2 linked regions of the Arabidopsis thaliana genome follow. The protein of the gene in region 1 interacts with the protein of each later gene in a pairwise test. Each region holds a gene or a part of one and is shown in the gene's direction. Other genes may lie near its edges. The genes, in order: SHM4 and UBP16.

Region 1 (10,335 bases):
CCGAAATCGGCTTGAGACATGTCTTTGACCTTGTATTCACGGCCACTTGAGGTCTTCTCGACGAGCAACGCCATGGTTGAGCTAGATCTGAGATTTGAATCCGAAAGGAGGCAGAGAGAGAGAGAGAGAGAAGTGTGTGCGAGGAGAAGAGAAAGGGAGTGACAGAGAATATATAGATGAGGTCAAAATGAAATGAACGGTTCAGATTGTTTTGAGGGTTTGGTGGATCTGGTAGAAGTTGTAATCCCGTGGATGACGGAACACGCTGCACGAGCGGTATGACCCGTGTTGTAAGCTTGTCGTGGGTTAGATCGGACGGTGATGTGGGAGGGTGGACACGTGGCTGTGTTTTATTTGTTTCAGTGAATCGTAGATCGTAGTTATTGACTTATATTGAGAACCCTAACGGGCCGTCACAGTAGCCCAAGTGAAGAATCAGTTGATATCTTTTCGATGACTATTATCAACTGTTGTTTATTTACGGTATATTTCTGTTGAATCTTGGTTTAACAATTCAAACTACATATTTAAAATTTGTAACATTTTTTCCCAAGAAAAACAATCTAGATCAGTTTATAGTCCCGCTTGTATCGCGCTAATGGTATCACTCACTCAACGGTCATATGGATTATGCATTGTTCTCGTATCATTTTCACTCTAAAGTCACTTAAGTTGCATTATCATTCTGCCATGAATTCCCTCGTCTGAAGTCATTTAATTTATGAGATCTCGTTCGTCTGATTGGACCACGAGAAACGTCCCATGTTCTCCGCTTATTGTAACGACATATTTCTAAATTAATGCCTTAGATCTACCACGACATGTGAATGTGACTTTTCTGTTTGTTTTTTTTTTTTGGTTAACTTTGGCTAAATCCTTTTACATATTTCAGAACATTTTGTTTATAAGATCCGTCAATTTTCATATTAAAATAGACAATTCAACCCGCTATATACGGAAAATTGAAATCTAGAACTTTTTATTTATTTTTGTATATATATAGGTTCTTTTTTTAATCAAAGAAACAAATATACAACTTATTCAAACCTAAATTATCAGATTTAACACCTAAATCCCAGTATGAATCCGTATTAAAGTTGGGTTGAAAATAAAAACAATAACTTGTTTTTGAAGAAAGAGTATCAATAGGTGCAAATGCAATAGCCACCAAGCATTTACACTAGTGGCATTGTGTGTGTGTGTGTGCTGTTTGGATCTGGACCTGCGCGTGTAGGAACGTCGGTGGATCTGACTGATCTTAAAAGATCAAAACAGAATTAAACAATGTGGTATTAATTATATTAATTATACTTTAGTATATATATATTTATTGTAATTATATTATGTTGTGTGATTTACCAAAAGAATCGTAATATTTCAAAGCAGCCGACAGTGAGAATCATAGCAATTATGTGGCGATGTGCGTTTCTTTTTTCTTGTTTTGGTGGTACTATGCAGATCTAACATGTTACTATCTTTATATGTTTATGAATTTTAAATGTACTTTTCGAATTTTAAATAGATCTTGTTCTCGATAGAAACTATATACATTGTACTACTTTTGCTATTAAACGAGTAACAATCGTATATTTCAATAAATTTATAATAGTCTATCTCCACCCATAATGTTTCACATCCGGGTGATACATAGCACTGACCATTTATTATCCCAAGACTTTGAGCACTCAAAAGACTATTTGATAAATTTATTCGAGAGTTATGAAACTGGTAGTGGTAGGTTTGGAAAATAAATTACACGAAATAAAAGCTGGAGGGTACTGGATTAAGACATTCGATTCTATTCAATCGACCAGAAAAGGACAACACTCGAGTTGTGTCAATTTCAGTGTAGCTTTTGGCTACAAAGGACATAAATATTTCTGAGTTAAGTAGACCAGTAATCTTATAGCTTATAAGACAGTGACAAAAGTTTATGGTAAGAAGATTGAGTAGTATCTTTGGGCTCTCCAAATAATGGTGAGTTTGTTACAATTTACGATGAATAATCTTGGTGACTGGTGGCTTATGCTATTCTTACAAATGGCCAGCACCAAGTCAAAATATATATCTTCTCGAGGAATTCTACGAGGCGACTCAACCCGATATATCCATATGTTTTTAGTATATGCACCGAAGTTTTGATCCAAATGCCTTAAAAGGCCGAGTTTCGAAAAATGATTTTGGAACTCCGAATATCATAAAACTGTCAATGATAGCTTATTCTTTTGTTGGGCAACGAAGGAGGAAACTAATGCACTAATGAACATTATTATTACAACTTATAAGTGAGATTCGGAGTCAAAATGTCAAATTTGGAAAAATGTTGAAGAGGAAGAGGATTTAAAGACCATTTTCAGCAGTTCTATTAATGTAATCTACAAAAAATTTATATATTATTTACAAAAAAATGTAATTTTATCGAAATTGTTTCTATTGGAAATCGATCGAAAATAATAAAATATGATATAAAAATATATTACTTCTTTCAGTATATGAGAAGTATTTATTAAAATTTTTAAATGTGATAACATACCGGTAAAACTATTTTTCAAAACAGAAAAAGACAACACAATTATTTGAAAAACGTGAAAATTTGGTATTTCATTTCTTTTTGTAAGCAAACCATGACGTATAAAAGAAAGAATTCATTCTAGGTTTTAATATATTTTAGGAATAATCTCACCGGTCATCATACAAGTTTAGCAGAAGAATAATCTCACCGGTTTCATTATGTAGTATGTCACCATGTCGACACCACAATAGGAGTATATATATGATATGACTCCAAAAGAATTGTTATTTAATTAAGAAAGTATTATAAGACAATACTTTTCGTTGTATTTGCGGAGGTAGGTGGGTTTCCAATTATACAGGTCTAAAAATCGAGGTTGGTGAAGCTTACTTTACAACAAAAGTCCTCCTCTATTATTCTACCACATGGAAAAAATTCACCAAAACGTGATTTACACATACTCTCACTTTATTCTAATATTTAATATTTTTGTATTCATATTTTACGTAGATCGTTTAATTTTCTACATGTCGAATAAATAAATAAACACTATTAAATTGACTTTAACGTTCAAACTTAAAAGTTTACTTTTACCAGCCTTTTTTCTTTACTGAGTAAATATTACCTGAAAAAGACATTTTTCTAACTTCAGTATTCTGTGTGTTTACGAAGAAAATGAAGATCTTCGTCACATCACATGTTGACCTCAGATCTGCCAATACCACTAGGCACTACGTTACTATTTAATGACCACATAATCAAATCTTAAATTGAAAAGACGATTTTGACCCTCACCGACTCACATGCATACAAAACCACCTACTCTCCTCTCCAAACCCCATGATCATGCCATTCTCTAGCAAATATTAAATACTTAATATTCTTTGATCAACCGAGGGCACGATGCAATAATAATAAATAAATTTGTTAACCATAACAACTCCTCAATCGTGTAGTTAGTTAATTAGTATGTCCACGAAAAAAGGTTTCAAAGGGAGGCTACCAACTATTTCTTGTTTATAAAAATGTGTGTTTAATGGCTCTTTTCATATGCTAAATTATAAAATTTGTGACAGAGAATATCTAAGACTTTAGTGGAATAACAAACTTATTTTTTCTCATTAGAAACTGAGAGTATCGAAAAATAACAATTTGTACACATTTCATTTGGCATTTTCAACATAAGCAAAATGGGCGAAAGAGTTGGATATGTTCTCTAACTATAATGTGATGTTAATTTGGATATGGTATCGATTAAGTGATCTAGTCAGGATGCTAAGCAAAGACCACCAATTTCTTATAATGTTGGGATAATGAATAGTGAGGCAAAGTGATGCTGTAGTTACACATATGATGAGTTGTCACTGAAATTATAACATAAACATAAACAAGGATATAGTCTTATAGAGGGTACGGTTACACATATGATGAGTTGTCATTGAAAATTATAACGTAAACATAAACAAGGATATAGTCATATAGAGGGTACGGTGACTTCGTGATTCTTAGTGATGATTGATGAATATGAACTAAGATTCATCCGCAAGTAACTTTAAAATCAGATTACTATGAAAATACAATTTTAATTTTGCGTTATCCGTTTTCAAGTGTTTCGTTTAAGACCGTATAAAGTTTTATTTAGCTTGGAGATATGTGAGAGACTATTTTTATCCGCAAAATTCATATGTTTAAATTCATCGTGAATACTTCCTTTGTGAAAAAGCTTTAAAAAATACATTATTAACATTTAAGGGGTTAATCACATAATATTGAAGCGGATAAATTGTTGAAATCTTCACAACATAGATGAAAATTTTGTGGTCGACAATGTTGACGTTGGTTTAATTACCTTTGCATTGTTAACACATAATACATCTTATTTACACCAGATGTACGACCATTTGAGTTTTGAAAGGTTAAACTATGAAAAACTATAGAGTTTCTTATTAAAATGTAATTACTCCTATCTAAAACACTGGGCTGAATCAAGATCATGGGCCCTCAAAGCCCTTTTTCCAATTTTAATTCCTCCGATTTATAGGGATTTATACAGTTTTTTTTTTTTTTTTGGAATCAATAGATTATATTTTTGTTTGTAATTACTTTTTATTTTCTACCAACAAATTCAATTTCTGATGTCAAAAAAATAAAAATAATCCGAGAGAGAGATTTACCCAACACAACCTTAAATGCAATTGGGCCTTAAGTATCCATCTAATCATAATTAATTAAGGGAAACAAATATTGGTAAGAGGGTAAAATAGTCAAAACACACTAAGCTTGTTCTCCTACCACACACACCTAACCAACTAACACCAAAATTAGCAAAGGAGGACAAATCCGTAATTTACCCCATTTTCTACTCCTCTTTTAAACCCAACCGCCTCTCTTCCCACTTCTCACTCTCTGATCTCAGATCTCTCCCTCCCTCTTTCTCCGATCTCAGATCCATTCAACAATCTACAAAGAAGATGGAACCAGTCTCTTCATGGGGTAACACCTCTCTCGTCTCCGTAGATCCAGAGATCCACGACCTAATCGAGAAGGAGAAACGTCGGCAATGTCGAGGAATCGAACTTATCGCTTCCGAGAATTTCACTTCCTTCGCCGTCATCGAAGCTCTCGGAAGTGCCTTAACCAACAAATACTCCGAAGGTATTCCTGGTAATCGTTATTACGGAGGTAACGAATTCATCGATGAGATCGAGAATCTTTGCCGTTCAAGAGCTCTCGAAGCTTTCCATTGTGATCCAGCAGCGTGGGGCGTTAATGTTCAGCCGTATTCTGGATCTCCGGCAAATTTCGCTGCTTACACGGCTTTGCTTCAGCCTCACGATCGTATCATGGGGCTTGATTTGCCTTCAGGTGGTCATTTGACTCATGGTTACTATACATCTGGTGGTAAGAAGATCTCTGCGACTTCGATCTACTTTGAGAGTCTTCCGTATAAGGTGAATTTCACCACTGGTTACATTGATTACGATAAGCTTGAAGAGAAGGCGTTGGATTTCAGGCCTAAGTTGCTTATCTGTGGTGGTAGTGCGTATCCTAGGGATTGGGATTACGCTAGATTTAGAGCTATTGCTGATAAGGTTGGAGCTCTTTTGCTTTGTGACATGGCTCACATCAGTGGTCTCGTTGCTGCTCAGGTATATTATAAGCCTATTCTCATTTGTATTGATATTGTGTTTCATGTAGATCTGGTTTTGTTTTAGCATTATGAATTGTTTAGAACGAAGATCTGCATTCATTGTGTCAAGTCTAGTGTTTTCAGGGTTATCAAATGTTCTTCTTCCCAAGAACGAATCATATCACATTGTTAAAGTCGTTTGATTTTACTTGTGCCGTCTCATTTTAGTCTCCTAGTTTATAGTTTAACTCCTATAAGAATGTTTAAGTGAACACAGGATGAGATTCAATTCTTTTCAGTAACTAAAACCAACCTATTAGCCTGATGAAGTTTGGGGATTACTCTAATGTTACTTGCCAAGATTGAGTTTTTTTTTTTTTTTTTTGCATTCACCGACAGAACTGATTGAGTTTTAATCATATTTACAGGAAGCTGCAAACCCATTTGAGTACTGTGACGTTGTGACAACCACAACCCACAAGAGTTTGAGGGGTCCAAGGGCTGGTATGATTTTCTACAGGAAGGGTCCAAAACCACCAAAGAAGGGTCAACCCGAGGGTGCAGTCTATGATTTTGAGGACAAAATCAACTTTGCTGTATTCCCTGCGCTTCAAGGTGGTCCTCACAATCACCAGATTGGTGCTCTAGCTGTTGCGTTGAAGCAGGCTAATACTCCTGGGTTCAAGGTCTACGCAAAACAAGTGAAAGCCAATGCTGTTGCCCTTGGAAACTACCTAATGAGCAAGGGTTACCAGATTGTGACCAATGGAACTGAGAACCACCTTGTTCTCTGGGATCTTCGCCCTCTTGGATTGACCGGTGAGTGAATTATATCTCAGAGAAAAAAACCCACTTTTGCGACCCTATGGTTTCTGGAACTAGTCCTGATGTTTATATATTCTTCTGTCAGGAAACAAGGTTGAGAAGCTCTGCGATCTGTGCAGCATTACATTGAACAAGAACGCAGTATTTGGAGACAGTAGTGCTCTTGCTCCTGGAGGTGTAAGAATCGGTAAGAGGGAAATTCTGAAATGTTCTTGACAATGGCCATTGAATCTCATTTGTGGGATCTTGCTAACATATAAATATATATGTGTTTGTGTAGGTGCACCCGCGATGACATCGAGAGGATTGGTGGAGAAGGACTTTGAGCAGATAGGAGAATTCCTGAGCCGTGCAGTGACACTGACGTTGGACATCCAAAAGACATACGGTAAGTTGTTGAAGGACTTCAACAAGGGTTTGGTGAACAACAAAGATCTCGATCAGCTCAAGGCTGATGTCGAGAAGTTCTCGGCGTCTTATGAGATGCCTGGATTCCTCATGTCTGAGATGAAGTACAAGGATTAGAGATCTTTCTCTATATGCAAGAGTAATCTTCTATTATTATCTACCATATATATAAAATATGCTTTTGTAGGATCGCCTTAAAGGCGAAGAGATGAAGATGCAAACAGTAAAAAAAAAGGGTTTTCTTTTCAGCTATTTCTTCTTGAATGTTTTTTTTCTTTTTCTTTTGGTTTCTTATTGAAATTGTTGTATTTTTGTTGGCTTTTTTCTAATAATATCAGCGAGTTTTTCTTTCCACTGTTTCAATTAAATACGGTGTGTTTGTATGGGTTTTAGTTTCATAGATTGAATTATTTGTACTCAACTAAGGAATTCTTGTAAATGCAAAAAAAAAAGAAAGTTTTACGAAAAGTAAAGAAAGAAATATCGTAAGTTGGGACGACGACGACGAAGATTTATACAGAGGAAGAGCTTCTCGCTATCGACGCCAGCGAAGCTTCCTATCTCTCCCATTCTTCTTGTTACGCTACTCCGACCGTACGTGATACGAGCTCCGGCCATGAACACGAACATCCAATTGAAATCCCCAATTTCCCTCGCCAGATGCATCATTACATCACTTCTTCTGCAGCTTATAACCGATTGTCGAGGTAAAGATGGAAAAGTGGATTCATCAGTCTCCCTAGAGATCTTTAGCTATTATTTTCGAATTTCTTATCGCTTAGAAATTTCTGGGTTCTTGGTGATCTCAATTCATTTGTTTTATCAACTTTTTCCCCATCTGATTCGATTTCCAAAGTTGTTATTTTCTCAATTGTTCATACCCCAATCCATTTATTAAGGTTTTTGTCACTACAATGATGATGTTAACGTTCTCCACTTGTGTGCAAATATGATTCTGTAGCTAAGCAATCTATCCGTTGGTTATTGACTTGTTTGTTGCAGCTAAATCTAGCTAGTGAGGTTGATAAGTGAGAAATGCAGCTTCTTAAGGTTCTTGATACCAATAGAGATGATATTGAGTGAAGACCAAGTTTTTTAAAAAGGTATTATGTTTAACATCAATGTCTTACTTTGAAAGCACCTCTCAGTTCATGCTATTAGGGTCTTATCTCGGTCTGTTTGCAAGTTTCATCTATTTCGATTGCGGTCTTTAAGTATGCAATGTGCAATCAAATTCATCTGATGGTGTGATTTTTTTTCATCTCTATGGATATGTTGTCTTTAGATACGGAAGAGCTTAATATGCTTGTTGTCTCCTTTGTAAATGGTCGGAAGAAAGTTTAGATGTCTCACTTGTCCAGTTTTGTATAGTCTCGAATCTCATTGCTGCAGCTTTTCATATGCATTATCCTTTAGAGAAGTTCCAGTGTGATCTAAATGATAATTCGTGAAAATTTGGGATGTTCAGGTGTTCTCCCGGGGAAAGTTGCAGTTGTTCAGCGACACAATAGATAAAAGTAACTCAACAGAAAGACAGATTCTCAAGATGAGAGACCCAAACAATACTATAAAAGAGAAGACACTTATTATTGATCATTTTTTCAGCGGAGAAGAAAAGCAGGAAAAGATTCTCATGAACCAGTCACGTTTATATGAAGTGAGAATGTGGCCGATGGCAAGTCCACAAAACAAACCAGGTACATAGCCTATTGCAGCTGCTACCCAGCTTAATCCTTTATCTTTCTCTTCCTTTTCTTTATCTTCTTCTTCTTCTCCACCGCATTTTTTTTGGAGAGGAGCACCGCAAAGCCCGGGATTCTCTGCGAAAGAAGAACTGTTCTGGCTTTGAATCTGAGTGCCTTGTGGTATTGGACCTTCAAGCATGTTGTAAGAGAAGTTCATCCGCGCTAGAAATGTGAGTTCCCCGAGCTCTCCTGGGATACTGCCGGATAATCTGTTTTGAGATAGATCCAATGATTGGAGATTGCTCAAGTTTGATAGAGATGGTGGAATATGGCCTGTGAATGCGTTGTTTGACATGTTGAGCACAATCAGTTCCTTGAGTATACCGATGGATTCTGGAATATCTCCTTCAAGTCTGTTTCCGGAGACATCGATGGTCTTGTAGATTTCGAAACCACTCCCTACCAGTTCCATATTCAATCCTTTGATCGTCAGAACCACAGATTTATGAAAGGATTCTTGGTCATCTCCTACAACCGTAAATCCAGGCGTATTATCAATAATGTCTACAAACGATGACATTACACTCCAACCAACAAAGTAATCTGATGGCAAGACTCCACTGAAGCGATTTTCTGAAATGTCAAAAAATCGTAGTTTGGAGAAACTTAAAGAATCTCCAGGAGAAAATATTGGCCCATGGAACTCGTTAGAACGAAGGACAAGCAGCTGTAGATTGGGCAATGATTTCAACCAGGATGGAAATGTGTCATTGATTCGGTTCTCTTCCACGTTCAGAAACTGGAGATAACTGCAGTTGATCAGTGACTTGGGAAATTGTCCTGATAACCGGTTGCTACCAACATCTAGTGATCTCAAGTAACCATGCAGAGATTCCTCTGGAATAACACCAGAGAGACTGTTATTTCGAAGATGCAAGATCGAAAGAGTTTTATTGGAAATCTCAAAACACGGGGGAATAGAACCGCTGAAGTTGTTGTTGGACAAAACAAGTGTCCCAATTTCGCATACTGCTCTAGGAATCTCTCCTGAAAACTTATTATCAGAGGCTATAAAGCTATAGATAGGATTTGGTAACATAGTTAGTTCTCCACTGAAGGCATTCTGAGCAATGTTTACATACCTCAACGTTGGTAGTCTCCATAACCATTCTGGTACTTGGCCTTCAATTTGATTGGCAGAGATGTCTAAATGATACAAACTGGTTTGGTTTTCCAGAAACTTAGGAAACTGAGAAATATTGCAGGATGATAAAATCAAGTGCATCATATGTGAGGGAAGATGGTGCGATGAACTGATATTCAAATTAATCCCTGAAAGATCAAGTGACCTAAGAGACTTGAGCTGCAAGAAGATGCTGAAATCAACAATGCCTCCTGTGTCCCAGAAAGAGAGGCTAAGAGCCGAAAGCCCGACTAGTTTCAATATAGATCTTGGAATTGGCCCATTGATATTGTTTTCTCCAATGTATAATTCTTGAAGGTTAGATGGTGAAGAGATATTCCCAATCTTAAGTGGACCGCTGAAGTCGTTTGTTCCCAGGTCAAGTTTAATCAACGAAGGGAGCATGAAGAGAGAAGAGGGGATGGTTCCAGAAAATGAATTTCCACTAATATCAAAAGCCTCCAGTTTGGAAAGGCTACTCATGTTAGATGGGAGCATAGCTTTGAACTGGTTAGAACTAAGGTCGACATTGGTGAGTGAGCTCAAGTTGAGTAGCATAAGTTGAAAATCTGTTAGTCGGTTTAGGCTGCTC
Region 2 (13,494 bases), 4.6 Mb from region 1:
AAATCTTATGATTACGAGAACGAGTATTTTGATTATAGTCGAATATAGACATTCCTTTTTCTCACGTAATTATTTTCTGCAGATAAATGATAATTTAAGCACTGAATCAAAATCCCCAAAAAGAAGTAAGGAGCCTAAGAAGCTTTTATCTGGCTCCAGACGATCTTCACTACCCCGACATGATGACGGCAAAAAGGATGAGGATATCGTGGTTAAGGGAGTTAATAATACAGAGGTAAAGGCTGTTGTAGAGGTCTCGACAAGTGAGGATAAGAATTCATCAACGTCAGATGTGGCATCTGACACTCAGAAACCGTCTAAGTTATCCGATGCACCGGGAGGAAGTAAAAGGCACTGGGGCCGTACCCCTGTAAGTTTCTTTTTCCTCTGCCTTTATTACCTATCTCTTAAGGGATCCAGACATTTAGTAAACGTTTGGTGTTTTATGTGCTCAGGGGAAGAAAAACTTGTCAATGGAATCTATTGATTTCTCAGTGGAAGTGGACGAGGACAAGTAAGTATCATCATCTCTACAAATGATTTACATCTTTATGTTTCTTTCAAAACTTCAAATTTGTTTGGACTAGAATTAATGTGGTCTACATGGTTCTTCTTCTGACAATGTTAATATTCTGCAGTGCTGACATTGAGAGACTTGAGTCAACCAAATTAGAGCTGCAAAGCAGAATTACAGAAGAGGTCACGATAAGTCCTTTTGAGTATTTTTGCTTTTGCGAACTCGGTGTGCTATACAGGTGGTGATTTTGACGAGTATGTGATCTCTAACAACCTCCATGTTTGGTACAACAGGTAAAAAGCAATGCAGTTCTACAGGCTAGTTTGGAGCGACGGAAGAAGGCTTTGTACGGGCGGCGCCAAGCACTAGAGCAAGATGTAAGTGTAAAATAAAACCTTATCTTAGCAATGTGAAGTTTGTTATTTATTGAGTGTTTAAATTTTAGTTATATGAATGTGCTTTACCTTTGACTAGGTGGGAAGACTACAAGAACAGTTGCAGCAAGAGAGAGACAGGAAATTAGCTCTGGAAACAGGACTGAACATGTCAAAAGGGAATCAACCTATTCCAGAAACAATCGATGAAAATGTTGCTCCTCTTCATTTTTGTCTAGCAACTAGTTGATTTTTGTCAGGCTAAAAGTACATATATCTAACTTGGGAGACATTTTACAGTTGAAGAAAGATCTGCAAGAGGTAGCTCAAGCGGAGGCTGATATTGCCAAGTTGGAACATAAGGTTGATGATCTTGAAAATAGGCTTGGTCACCATGACGGAAAAGCCTCTGGTTCTACGCATAGTGCCAGCAAAGAATCTCGGAAATTGCCAGAGCACAATGCGAAGATGTACGGATTCATCAACAGATTCACATTTAACCTCACAACCTATGGTTTAAATAATATCAAAGCTAATTACTCGTCTTCTTTCAAATTTGTCACTCAGGAAGGAGAAACAAAAAGATACTGAAGCAGCCTCTACTCACATTTCTGAAAGATCAACGTCCAAGGTAACCACTGTAAACATTTGTCTATCAATTTTGTGTTTTCTTCCTCTGTATTTATCCTCTACAGACGGGTAACATATTGCAGGATGGGCAAGGGGCTGCAAGAGAAAATGAGACAGAGAAGCAACAGGATTCACGGAGCAAAAGCTCGCAACAAGAAACATCACGTGGCAGCTCAAAACTGGTGGGCTTGTCAAAGAGGTCTGGCACAAAGGGAGAGGTAAGTTTCATAGTGTAACCATTAAATTTCATCCAAATATCGTTCAAAGCTAGAAACTGAGTGAAATAAACAGGGAAGCACAACAACAACTTCTGCACTTTCCAAATTGACAATGAGACTCAACTTCCTCAAGGAGAGACGTAGTCAGATCGCGAACGAGCTCCAAAACATGGACAAAGGAAAAACCCTAGGGCAACCCAGTCCAACCTCGGGACAAAACCGTGTATCAGAGGAAACTGAAAAAGGATCAGGGTCGAACCAGGATCCAGACAGCAGCAAACTACAGAGCCCTCACATTCTTGACAGAGGAAGATCCGAGAACGGAGGAGACAGAGGCAGAGGATCATCTGGAGGAAACCATCCCAACACTACACCAAGGACCTTCTCCAGATGATACTCTTTATCAACAACCCCTTCCCTCAGATGTACAGCCGCCATTTAACAACACCACCTCCAGTTATGCTTATTCGTCACCCCCCAACAACCAAATAACAGATTCTTTCTTCTTTTTAGTCTCATTCTTATCTTGCTTCAGCATTTTTTTAAGACCAAATAAACTACACTCTCTTTTTTTGTTGTGTTTTAACTGTGCGTTGGATCTGTTGTTTTGGTAGTGACATTTCACATCAGTATAGAAACTAAAATTGAATTGTATTTAACAACAATGCTTGAACAAAAAATATATTGAATCCCCCTCTTCCTAGTTCCTTCTTGTGTTCACTATTTCAAAAATGAATAAATCAATATAAATAGTCGCCATCATCATCATCAATAAAAGAATGGTATCAAAAATCTCGAAGCAGCTTCCTAACTTGCTCCAACGTAACGAAGAGAACAACAGTGAAAGGACCTTGCCTACAAACTGTAGGAACAAAGCCTTTATAAAGAGCCATGGCTCCTTCCGCTTTAACCGTCTTCACCGCACAATCCCACGCGCCGTCGTACGCTCCCACCTTCATATTCATCACTCTCGTCTTTATCACATCCACCGGATTAGACGCAACCGAAGCAACAAACCCCGCCGCAAAACTCGCTACCACGTGAGTCCCTAGCCCATCATTCATCACACCATTCTCCAATATCCCTTCCTTGAACTGATCGTAAGACGCTAGCTGAGCCGCCGTCACAATCATCGCTCGGTTAATCGTCAACGCCGAGCCTCGCCACAAGCTCGTTACGCCTTCTCCCTTAACCATGCTCCTGATTGCGTCTCCTACTCCGGCGTAGTTACGACGTTGCGCTAAAGGTAACCTCCCGTCAGCTTGCATCCTAACCATCGCCACGTCAGCTGGATTTCCAACGGCGGCTCCGATTCCACCAGCGACTAGCCCTGCACCGATCTTCCTACTCAGATTCAACTTCCCTGACTCAGGATCAGTCCATTTGTTCTTAAGCACTTCGTATAGACCCATCCTGGTGGTGGAATATAACGTCTGACGGAGAAGTGTAGCGGAGACTCCTGAGAATAACGCGGCGGCGCCTTCCGATTTGACTATGTTGATTCCGAGTGAGATCGGTCCTACTTTGGGGACTGAAGAAGTCGTTTCCAGGAAAGCTGCAGGAGAAGAATTGGGGAAAGCGAGAGCTGGACGGAGGAGAGTGACGGTGGTGGTGGAAGGTGCTTCACCGTGAAGCTGAAGACGAACCTTGATTAGATCGAGAGGGTGAGTAGAGCAACCGGCGATTACAGAGGCAATCCCACCTTCAACGAAACTTTTGACTCCCATTGTTGTGAAATTGGAGAGAGAAGAGAGAATGAAATTGAGATGTTGTGAGTGAAGGAGAAGAAGAGGGAAACAAAGGTATTTATTTGTAGCGAGTTTTGTTTTGTGACGCGGTTTTGTCTGTGTTCAATGTTGACGAAACGAGTGAGAGAGTGTCTGATTATTAAAGAAAACCCTAATTAAGTCAGACCCGCCGGTTATAAAAATAGTCAAAAAGTAGGAAAACGCGTGTGTGAGTGAGACAGAGACAGCCCATTGTTTGCTTTATGGGCTTATAAGCGAGACGTGTTAATTGGGCTTTTTCCTTTATGGCCGAAAACAAAAGAAACGTCGCCTGAGAGATTCGAACTCTCGCGGGCAGAGCCCATGTACTTAGCAGGCACACGCCTTAACCACTCGGCCAAAGCGACTTGTTGCTATGAGTTAGACAAAATCATTAAAATTCTCTATTATGATTTCTCATAGTGTGTGTGTATATTGTGGATCTACTAAAAATTCTTTGTTATTATTACTTTATTTTGTGAATTAGTTTGATATAGGTAAGTACAAAGTTAACTTTATTATTTACTCAAAATTTATCAGATTAACTGATTTTATATTGTTTCCTTTGGTATATAGACGTACTATAGTTTTTAGAAAAACCATAAGATTCCTTTATATTTCATAGAGTGAAGAGATGAGATGAGATCTTGGCTGGAGAAGAAATAAGTTTCCACGAGGAGGACTCTTTTTTTTTGGTGAAGACGAGGAGGAGGACTCTTGGTTGATCCAGTCTTTACGTTAGACATCGACCCCTACATTTATTTGCCTTTCTCTATCAACATGGCAGGTAAAAATCTTCATTCAACCGAACCAACCAAAGTCTCTTCCCAATAATATTCAAGCACCATCCTTTGGGAAACTCATACATACTACAGTCTACACTCTTTCATTTTCTTTCAACGCTCAACTTAACAAATGATATAGTCTAGTTGTCAATTATATGTTTTAATTAGTGTTTTCACATCAAATTCTGGTTTGATATTTGATGACTATTTTCGGAAACATCTCAATGTCCCGCAAATACAATCGTCTATCATATATAATCCCGTACGTTGTATTCTTATAGATAGAATAATATGGCGTGATCTTTATAATATAACATATAGAATCGTGTAGATTTATTTTATTTTATTTTTATATATCGCATAAATTGCAAAATACTTATATATGTTTGTTATATATGATACCCATTTTATAGTTACTTAAAAAAAGTTAAGCGATAATATATATATATCAACTTTTTATAACAAAAAAGTATAACACATGGTAAAGAAAAATAAAAATGAAGACATGGTGTGACACGAAAATGGCACTAAATATACATATATAATAGATAGCTACAATATCCCATCATACACACTTTTTTAATTGACTAATACATAACTTACACACTTTTTTAATTGACTAATTCATAACTTTTTATCATTGTCAACATGCAAATTCATATTTCCGTTGAACTATTATTCTTATTTTGTTTTTAAAAGAAGGGCTTCCTGGTAATAAAAATATGATTTCCAAATGACGTTAGAGCAAAAAAAAAAAAAGGTTGTCTGGTCTGGTAAAATGAAAAAGCAAAGCGTCTTGGTATAGAAAAGTAATATACTGCCTCCTAATTTCTTCGTCCTTCTACCGAAGAATCTCTCCACTCTTGCCCTCTTTCGAAACCCTAAACCAGAAGCACCAGATTTTTTCAACTTTTTCCCAGAGAACAATAGAAAACCCAACTTGTGCTCTCTAGGGTTTTCTTTATTCCTTCTCATCTTTGGATTTTCTTGGGTCATCATTTTGGAAGCTTACCCACCAGCGAAAAAATTATAACTTCCATCGATTCCTGGCTTCTCTCTCTCGCTCTCTCTGCATGTGCTAAATCGCCGGACTGATCCTCACTGTCACCTCTGTTCCCGGCTTATTCGCCGGTGAAATCTATGGTTGGTGCTCAGATTTATTTCCAATTGTTTGTGCATCTGGTGGAGGATAAATGCTCCTTGTTTTGGATCTAGGGATTTCTAGTCTAGTCCTTGTGGTCTCTCTTGTTTTACCTTTGATCGGTCTCTTTGTTCGTCACAAATGGAGGGTCGCTGCCCAAAGAAGGGAGGAGATTAGAAGACTTCTTATTCATGCTTCTGAAGAGGCTGCCAGGGCTGAGCTAGAGGCCTCTGTTGAGTTCTCTTCTGTTGCCGTCTCTAATGTCTTCCATTGTCCTGTTTGCTATTGTCTTGCCACGACTCGTTGCTCTCGCTGCAAAGCCGTTCGATATTGGTATGCAAAAATTCTCTCACTTTCTCCATGTCCAAATTACGTTGTATGATCTTAGAGTTATGATTGCATCTGCTGCACTCTCTGCTGAGACGTGATGAATTGGAGTGATTAGTAGGCAAAGAATATAAGTTAGTTCTGTAACTTTAGCGATACTGGATCAGAGATTTAAGAAAATTGACTTCTTTTTCTATGTTAACAAAATTATGGGTAATTAGTTAGCTTGGGAGGAAGTTTAGTATTTGATTCATGGCTTATCTGTGAGTAACTAACTATGTGCTGCTGAGGAATTTATTTCAATTAGATAGCTTAAGAAATGTACTATAATGTCTATCAAATTTTCAACCTTTTCCCCTTAGCGCATGTGAAATTTCGTTACCTACATATCTTAGTGATAGTTGTTTCGTTTTTGTTATTTTTTTTCCAGTTCCGGGAAATGTCAAATCATTCACTGGCGGCAAGGTCACAAAGATGAATGTCATCCTGCTTCCATTGTATATGATAGTGAAGATGAGAGTGATTCCGATTTGAGATTAGGAGAAGAAAATGGACAAAATACTCCTGAGGAAACTTTACTGGTGGGTCCAGAACCAGTTACTATACCAATCGGGGAATCACTATTATCTAATCGTGCCAGATCTCCTGAAGATGGGAATGGAGATATTGCAGATAACAAAGATGACCTTATAGATAAGGAAGAAGCTGTTTCTGTTGCTGAAACATCTGGATCCTCGTTTTCTGGCTTCTCCTCCTCCCCCCGTAATGACTCTGGCGACGAGATTTCTCGTTGTGAGAGCTTCAGTTCATCTGAATCCGAGAGATCAGAGTCCCTACTTGATGCTCATGTCTCTGTAGAGCCAGAAGACACCTGTTTCAGCACCATTGAAGATGCTCCATCCAAACTGTTGTCTCCAAAATTTGTGCACTTGGTTGAATCTGTAGATAATCTCGCTAATCTGCCTAAATTAAGTGTACATAAACCTGAGGATGATGCTGGGCAGAACCAGAGCCAATCAAGGAGCTTACACTCATTAGTTACGGATAGGCATCCAGTATCAGCTGACCCATCTCTGAAGTCATCTGATTTTTGGGGTACGGCTCTTGGATCAGCCGAACGTGTGAGTGATTCTTGTGTTAAATCTAAATCTGGTAGACCTGGTAACTCCTCTCTGCATTTCTCCTTTGGCTCTGGCTCCTCTAGAGACACCTCAGCTGCTAAAGTTTCTGAGCAGAGGAGTAGCATTTTAAAAGAAGCTCCTAGGGGGACTGGTTATATATCTGATGGAGTAAACTTAAGAGAAAGAAATGCTAAAAGATTTGATGAAGCTGAAATTGCATTACCAATTTCCTCTTCTACTGATGCGCTGAGTCCTTTGGACTCTTCTAATTTGTCCCATGTGACCCTTCCGAAGTCAAAGAGCGCTAGTAGTGAAAATGGCTCTATGTTGGCCCCTTTGAAGGTTGGGGAAGTCCAACTTTTGGCATCCAAGGCCTCGAATACCAAGAAGTGTGCTGATCTTATGAAGCATTCTCCTTTAGGTGCAAAATCGGTAAGAGTTCTTGATCATCAGAAACAGAATGGTGCTGTCGTTCAGCATATAAATTCTCTACATGGAAGAAGTGGTTTAAAGGCATCAGTACTGAAAGTTGTAGACCAGTGGACCAGACCGAAGTCTGAAAATGAGATGGCAGGAAGACATGGTCATAAGGTAATCACTGAGTTCTAGGATGTTATCATCATTATGCAATACTTAGTTCCTACATTAACAAATCAGCAAAGCTATTTTTCTTATCAATCTTTTGGTGACATGCAGGGGCTCTTTCCATATGAAGTCTTTGCTAAACTGTATACATATAAAATTGAGTTCCAGCCTTGTGGCCTCATCAACGTTGGCAATAGGTAATTCCAATTTCCTCTTTTTCTAGTCGTTTTTAGCTGTTATAATCTTCAGCTTGTGGTGTAAAAAATGTAAAGTAAATGTGTAGCTTACACTCGCTGATGCAAGAATATACTCTGTTTCTTGCAGCTGCTTTGCTAATGTTGTCTTTCAATGCCTTATGTTCACTCCTCCTCTGACGACATACTTCCTCCAGCAATTTCATTCCAGAGCATGTGCGTCACTGGTTCTAAGTCTTTTTTCTTTTTGCTGCTTATTTTGGAAGGTTATTTTTTATTATCATCAATATATCAAGCCTTTAATAAGTCGTTTAACTATAGGTACAAAAAAAGAACAGTGCTTCACCTGTGGGTTTGAGAAGCTGGTCGTAAAGGCAAAAGAAGAGAAGTCTCCACTGTCCCCTAATGGCTTGCTATCTCAGCTGCAGAATATTGGAATCTTTCTTGGGAATGGCAAGGAAGAAGATGCACATGAATTCCTTAGGTGAACTGACATTTCTGAAATTGAGCAAACTTTGTTGCATATATCTTTATTATAACTGGAAGATCTGTGTTAATTTCATTTTCCTTGCAATTTGCAGGTTTGTTGTCGATACAATGCAGTCTGTGTGCATTAAGGCATCTGAATATGATATGACCAAGAGTAGCAAATTAGAAGATACAACTCTTATTGGTTTGACATTTGGGGGATACCTCCGGTCAAAGGTATCATTACCTACAACATTTGTACTTTACTCATTTTACTTTGTTTTGGAGGGAGTTGTAATCCTGGTACTTATGATCTCTGCCAGATTAAATGCATGAAATGTCAAGTAAAATCTGAGCTGCGTGAGAAAATGATGGATCTAACGGTTGAGATTGATGGAGATATTAGCACCCTGGATGATGCTTTGCGTCGATTTACAAGGACTGAGATATTGGATGGAGAGAACAAATACAGATGTGGCAGGTTGGTCAGCATTCCTTTCCATGTGTTGAACTTCGTGTGGTCCTTTGATATTTCGAATTATCTTTTCATGGTTCTGAGGATAGAGTTTTACATGAGCTTTATATATGGTTCTGAGTTGGGTATGATACCGATTGATTTAAAGTTCATGGGCAGCTGAAGTAGAGTTCATGGCCTGCCAAAGTATTCCCTTTCATATATTTCAATTACAATACCTAGATTCCACGACCAGCTGCAATAAAATTCCCTTCTAGCTTATGAAGACAGAATGTTTTTGAAGTACTATCATGGTCTTTCATTTGCGTAGTTTTAACTAATCACCTGTAACCTCTTATGTAAATCCTGGCAGTACGATTTTACATTCAATGATTGATGGGTGCTTACTCAATTTTTTTATTTTCCTGTGAGCAGCTGTAAATCCTATGAGAGAGCCAAAAAGAAGCTGAAAATAACAGAGCCTCCGAATGTCCTTACCATTGCACTAAAACGATTCCAGGTAACTTATATCTTCAATGAATACCCGGTTTGTTTCTGTTTAGTTCTATCTGGATTCTCTTGTTTCTCACAATTTTGCGACACTTGATTCTTAAAGGCAGGGAAATTCGGGAAGCTCAATAAGTTGATTAGGTTTCCAGAAACTCTAGATTTGGCTCCATATGTCAGTGGGGGAAGTGAAAAATCACATGACTACAAACTCTATGGAGTTATTGTTCACTTGGATGTAATGAATGCAGCATTTTCTGGCCATTATGTCTGCTATATTAGAAACCAAAATAAGTGGTACAAGGCTGATGATAGCACGGTAAGTTTCTCATATATTATCAATGGAATGTTGTTTGCGAATTAGTTTATAAGTAAGCTCGATTTTTTGTTCCCTTTTTACTTGAGTTTGTTATTTGATGAACTTTGGAATTAACTAGGAGTATCTTACTTCTATGACAGCATTTTAGGTTTACAATTTTCTGCTTCTTCCTTTTCAGTGATGAGTTTCTTAGTTTGAAATTTTGAATGGATAAGTATTATATAATTTTCCCCTTCCTTTTATATGCTGAAGTTGTTTTCTAGAAAGGATATTCTAGCTGGTTCCATTGGGGTTTCTATCTTTGTTGTAGTCTGAAGAGTCGTAGGATTGGTTTTGTGAGAGAAAATGTTTTGGCTTCTACTCATTGACTGGTCTCTTCTCGTCATCATCCATATATCTGCATCATACATTTGAAGAAAATTTCAATGTTTAATTCCTCTGTTGTGCATTGATTATTGTCAGGTAGTAACTTCGGATGTGGAAAGGATCTTGACAAAGGGAGCGTATATGTTGTTCTACGCAAGGTAAATAATATTATAATGCATCTCTCACACTCTTTAAAGTTGTGGATTATGCTCGATCTGGTTACTTATGATGGTATATATCGAATGAATTGACTGCAGGTGCACTCCAACGCCTCCAAGATTAGCAGTATGTACCAAAACTGAAGCATCCAATAAAAAAAGCAGAGTGCCACTACCTAAGGCTAATGAGAAAAGTACCATATCCCGGTCTGTGTCTACTTCAAGTCCTGAGTTGTCTTCCAACACGCCTGGTGGTGGTCGATCCGGCAATATACAGTCATTTTATTCTAGTTTCCAGAGGCTGCAGAAGATTTTAGAAGAAGACTCGGCGAGTGACAGTTCATCTCTCTTTGACAGCAACTCAGATGAATGCTCTTGTAGCACAGACAGTACAAGCATGGACGACTTTGCTGATTTCATTTTTGGAGATCATCAGGGACGGGCTCACGGACAGTCTGAGACTCCCTCACCAACATCATCGTCTTCCTCATCTTCTCCCCCCTTCACAAGGCGTTCGCCGCTCAGTCGTTCTTCTCCAGAAACTTACGGAACCTCAAGACATCAGTTGCCCTTGGGAGGAGAAAGGTAAGGGAAACAAGATGGTTTTTTGTCCACTTGGCCCCAACTAAGTCAAAAGTAGTAGAAGAAAGTAGATTTGATTACACGTAGATTGAGTGGTTTTATTAACAACCCGTATTTAGGCTTGGTGAAAGTGGTTAATGAGAGAAGTGGTGGTATATAGTAGTGTATAGTGGGGAAGAGAGTTTTTGCCCATGAAATTGTATCACGTAATGGAACGGAATTTACCTTTGTTAATAAGTTGTTTTGACTTTTATTATAATCAATCAATAAAGCTAATCTAATATTGTCTCATCGTTGCACCTTTATTTCTTTTGCAATTTGCTTAACTTTGAATCTTTGGATTCAGTTCAGTTCAGAAATTCAAGAAAAATCCCAAAAGATGCAATTTTGCCAGTTCCAAGAAAAGAGATCATATGATGTTTTCAGGGGCAAACAAAATAAAAGCATATAGCCATATATGTTGATACCGAAACAAGAAAGTATCCAAATAGAAGAGACAACATTCAACACAGTACTGTGAAGCAAGTGTGATCCGAAAATGAAAAGAGAAAGTACTTAGACATACAAGTGAAGGATAAACATTATCTGAAAACAGGTCATATCCTAGCCACATAAGAATTCGCCTGTGTCACATATCTCACCCAACGATATGGATTATAACTACTTGATTTCTTTGCTATCTGCAAGTATTTGACCTGCATCACCCAATTCATTAGCGTTAATGATCGAAGAGGACGGTTAATGGCAATGCAAGAATCGGCATATTACTTACCTGAAGTTTAGAAACATTGTACATAGGTATCGTGAACGTCATGCTGACTGGCCCTGCTTCCTTTGTGATATTACCTACAACGAATTGAGAATTATCAGTAATGCTTTATTTTCCCCTGAGAGAACAAACATTACAAACTTTTGTCTTAGAGGGTAACCATGAAATTCCTGTGAAAATGTAAGCTTTGCACGCAGTGTATGCTCACCCCCGCCAACAATCTGGAATGCCACAGTTAGCTCATGGAAGCAACATACAGTTCAATATATACCTAAACTAGCAAACCACGTGAGAGATTTAACACTTGCCTTTTTTAAATTCCATTCAAGCATTTTGTTGGATTCCTTGAAATCTGTCCTCTGTCCAGCAGCACCGGGTTCTAACTCAAAACTAGCCCTGTCACAATAAACATAATCGTTGATTCTATTTCTTGTGTGATTCAGAATTCGGTATATCACTATAGCTGGAATTTAAATAAATTCATCGTATTCTCTTCCTCATGTACAATATCTCAGTGATGCACTTGTACAAACCAATCAAAAAGTTATGTACCTGGAAGTATAATTTGGCAATGGCATCTGAACAGTGATTGTGTTTGCAATTATGTCTGAAGGGAACTCAGCGCGTATTTTAATAATCACTTCAGCCTAAATTTCAGCAAACAGAAAAATATTTATAGAGCAATTAAGAAATATACGCAGTTTTTATCTGACTCAGAAGACATGTACGCATGAAATTTCACCTTAAGACGTCCAGCCTCTTCAATCAAGGTATTAACATGAAAAGGAGGCTTGAACTCCTGAGTCATACGGTAATTCATTACTGGAAATTCACCATCTGGTGGAACCTGAAAACAGAACGCAAGTTAAAGACTAATACAACATGCTATTACAAGATGTTTTCTGTACTAAATATTTTGACGCTCACCAGGGACAAAGTTCTATCTGAATCGAAGCTATCCAGACGAACAGACTCATGAAAGTTACAATCATCAAGTATCACCCCTGAACCTGAAGAACTCCTATAATCTGCAACATTTCAAGTGTGATGTTACCAAGGGTTAGATTGTATTAATAGATCAATCCCCAGTTGATACTGATGTGCCTCAAAGATGCAGAAAAAATGCTACAAGAGTAACTACATATATTTACGAATTGGGTTATGACTTATGAGGGAAGTTTGTAAGTGGAACATACAGCTTAGTTGACATTTAAGCATTGTCAACGCCAAATGTCACAGAAAGAGACACCAAGATTTCAAAGAGTGAGACAAGATAGAATATGACGTTGATTCCTTCCAAATATAATAAAGATGATTTAAAGGGGTGAAACAAGAAATACCATATACTGATCTCCCTCCTCTTCCTATGTTTAGGTCTTCATTAAGAGCTAAACGGATTTCTGGATTACCAGAAAGATAGCTCTTCATTTGAATGGTGCCATCAATCTCAGAAGTCAGTATATATCCCTGTTCAGAAATCAGAAAAATAATGGATATTTTCCATGAAGAAAACTAACATTAAGATGCAACTACATGTATTAGGACATAATACAAAGCATTGATCCGCAGAAATGGGTGGTTTGATATGGCAAGAAGAGAACATGCCAAGACTTCTGTACTTTTGATATAATAAACTAGAAGCAAGTAACTACTCACGCTTGAACTAAAAGTAACACTGATTTTCTCGATGATGTCCACAAAAATTTCCTCTCTTCTCCGACCCCCAGGATCATTAGCCACAACCGATTTTGTAACTGCAGTTCCAGGCATTCTTTTGGCTCCTTGCTGCATAGCATAAATTAAAGGGGTCAGTCACATATACCAGGAGGAGGAAAATGAAAAGCAATCTTACTGTGAAAATGGCAGCAGGATCAATAGGCTGAAGGCGGGCAGGAGAAACCACAATCGGCTCATTGAATATATAAGATTTCAAAACTTCGGTAGATGTAGTTTGCACGTAACCAAAATCCTAATCAAAAGAGCACAGAGTCTTATTTAATAAAAAAAAATCAAAACTGGGAAAATAAACAAATATAGCTACTATATAGATATAAACATGCTAACAATGAGAACTACATCAAGACGAGACTTACAATAACTTCATCAAGCAACTCATACACGAGCACAAAGTTTTTCCTGAATGAATCTTCATTCAGAACACCAAGATAATCCTTAATAACACGAGCAATCCTTTGTAGAAGCTCCAAAACAAG

What was found.
Region 2: the proteins of SHM4 (region 1) and UBP16 interact in binary tests that used the Arabidopsis thaliana proteins (3 or more experiments, as listed by UniProt).

Annotation. Positions count from the first base shown.
Region 1 is NC_003075.7:8,044,670-8,055,004, reverse strand, and holds SHM4 (serine hydroxymethyltransferase 4), read left to right. Parts: upstream 1-4,847; 5' UTR 4,848-4,983; coding exon 4,984-5,661; intron 5,662-6,070; coding exon 6,071-6,461; intron 6,462-6,552; coding exon 6,553-6,654; intron 6,655-6,747; coding exon 6,748-6,992; 3' UTR 6,993-7,313; downstream 7,314-10,335. Other genes in the region: HOG1 (S-adenosyl-L-homocysteine hydrolase), read right to left, coding at 1-74; RLP50 (receptor like protein 50), read right to left, coding at 8,469-10,335. UniProt on the Arabidopsis thaliana protein: Catalyzes the interconversion of serine and glycine with the conversion of tetrahydrofolate (THF) into 5,10-methylene-THF.
Region 2 is NC_003075.7:12,676,518-12,690,011, reverse strand, and holds UBP16 (ubiquitin-specific protease 16), read left to right. Parts: upstream 1-5,035; 5' UTR 5,036-5,483; coding exon 5,484-5,764; intron 5,765-6,188; coding exon 6,189-7,470; intron 7,471-7,575; coding exon 7,576-7,661; intron 7,662-7,788; coding exon 7,789-7,874; intron 7,875-7,979; coding exon 7,980-8,142; intron 8,143-8,239; coding exon 8,240-8,363; intron 8,364-8,449; coding exon 8,450-8,607; intron 8,608-9,015; coding exon 9,016-9,100; intron 9,101-9,196; coding exon 9,197-9,406; intron 9,407-9,868; coding exon 9,869-9,930; intron 9,931-10,029; coding exon 10,030-10,519; 3' UTR 10,520-10,812; downstream 10,813-13,494. Other genes in the region: REN1 (Rho GTPase activation protein (RhoGAP) with PH domain-containing protein), read left to right, coding at 83-370, 456-514, 639-699, 811-894, 992-1,105, 1,192-1,361, 1,459-1,522, 1,605-1,739 and 1 more; DIC2 (dicarboxylate carrier 2), read right to left, coding at 2,525-3,466; AT4G24550 (Clathrin adaptor complexes medium subunit family protein), read right to left, coding at 11,109-11,207, 11,285-11,358, 11,442-11,502, 11,590-11,677, 11,834-11,928, 12,024-12,128, 12,209-12,309, 12,622-12,748 and 3 more. UniProt on the Arabidopsis thaliana protein: Recognizes and hydrolyzes the peptide bond at the C-terminal Gly of ubiquitin. Involved in the processing of poly-ubiquitin precursors as well as that of ubiquitinated proteins.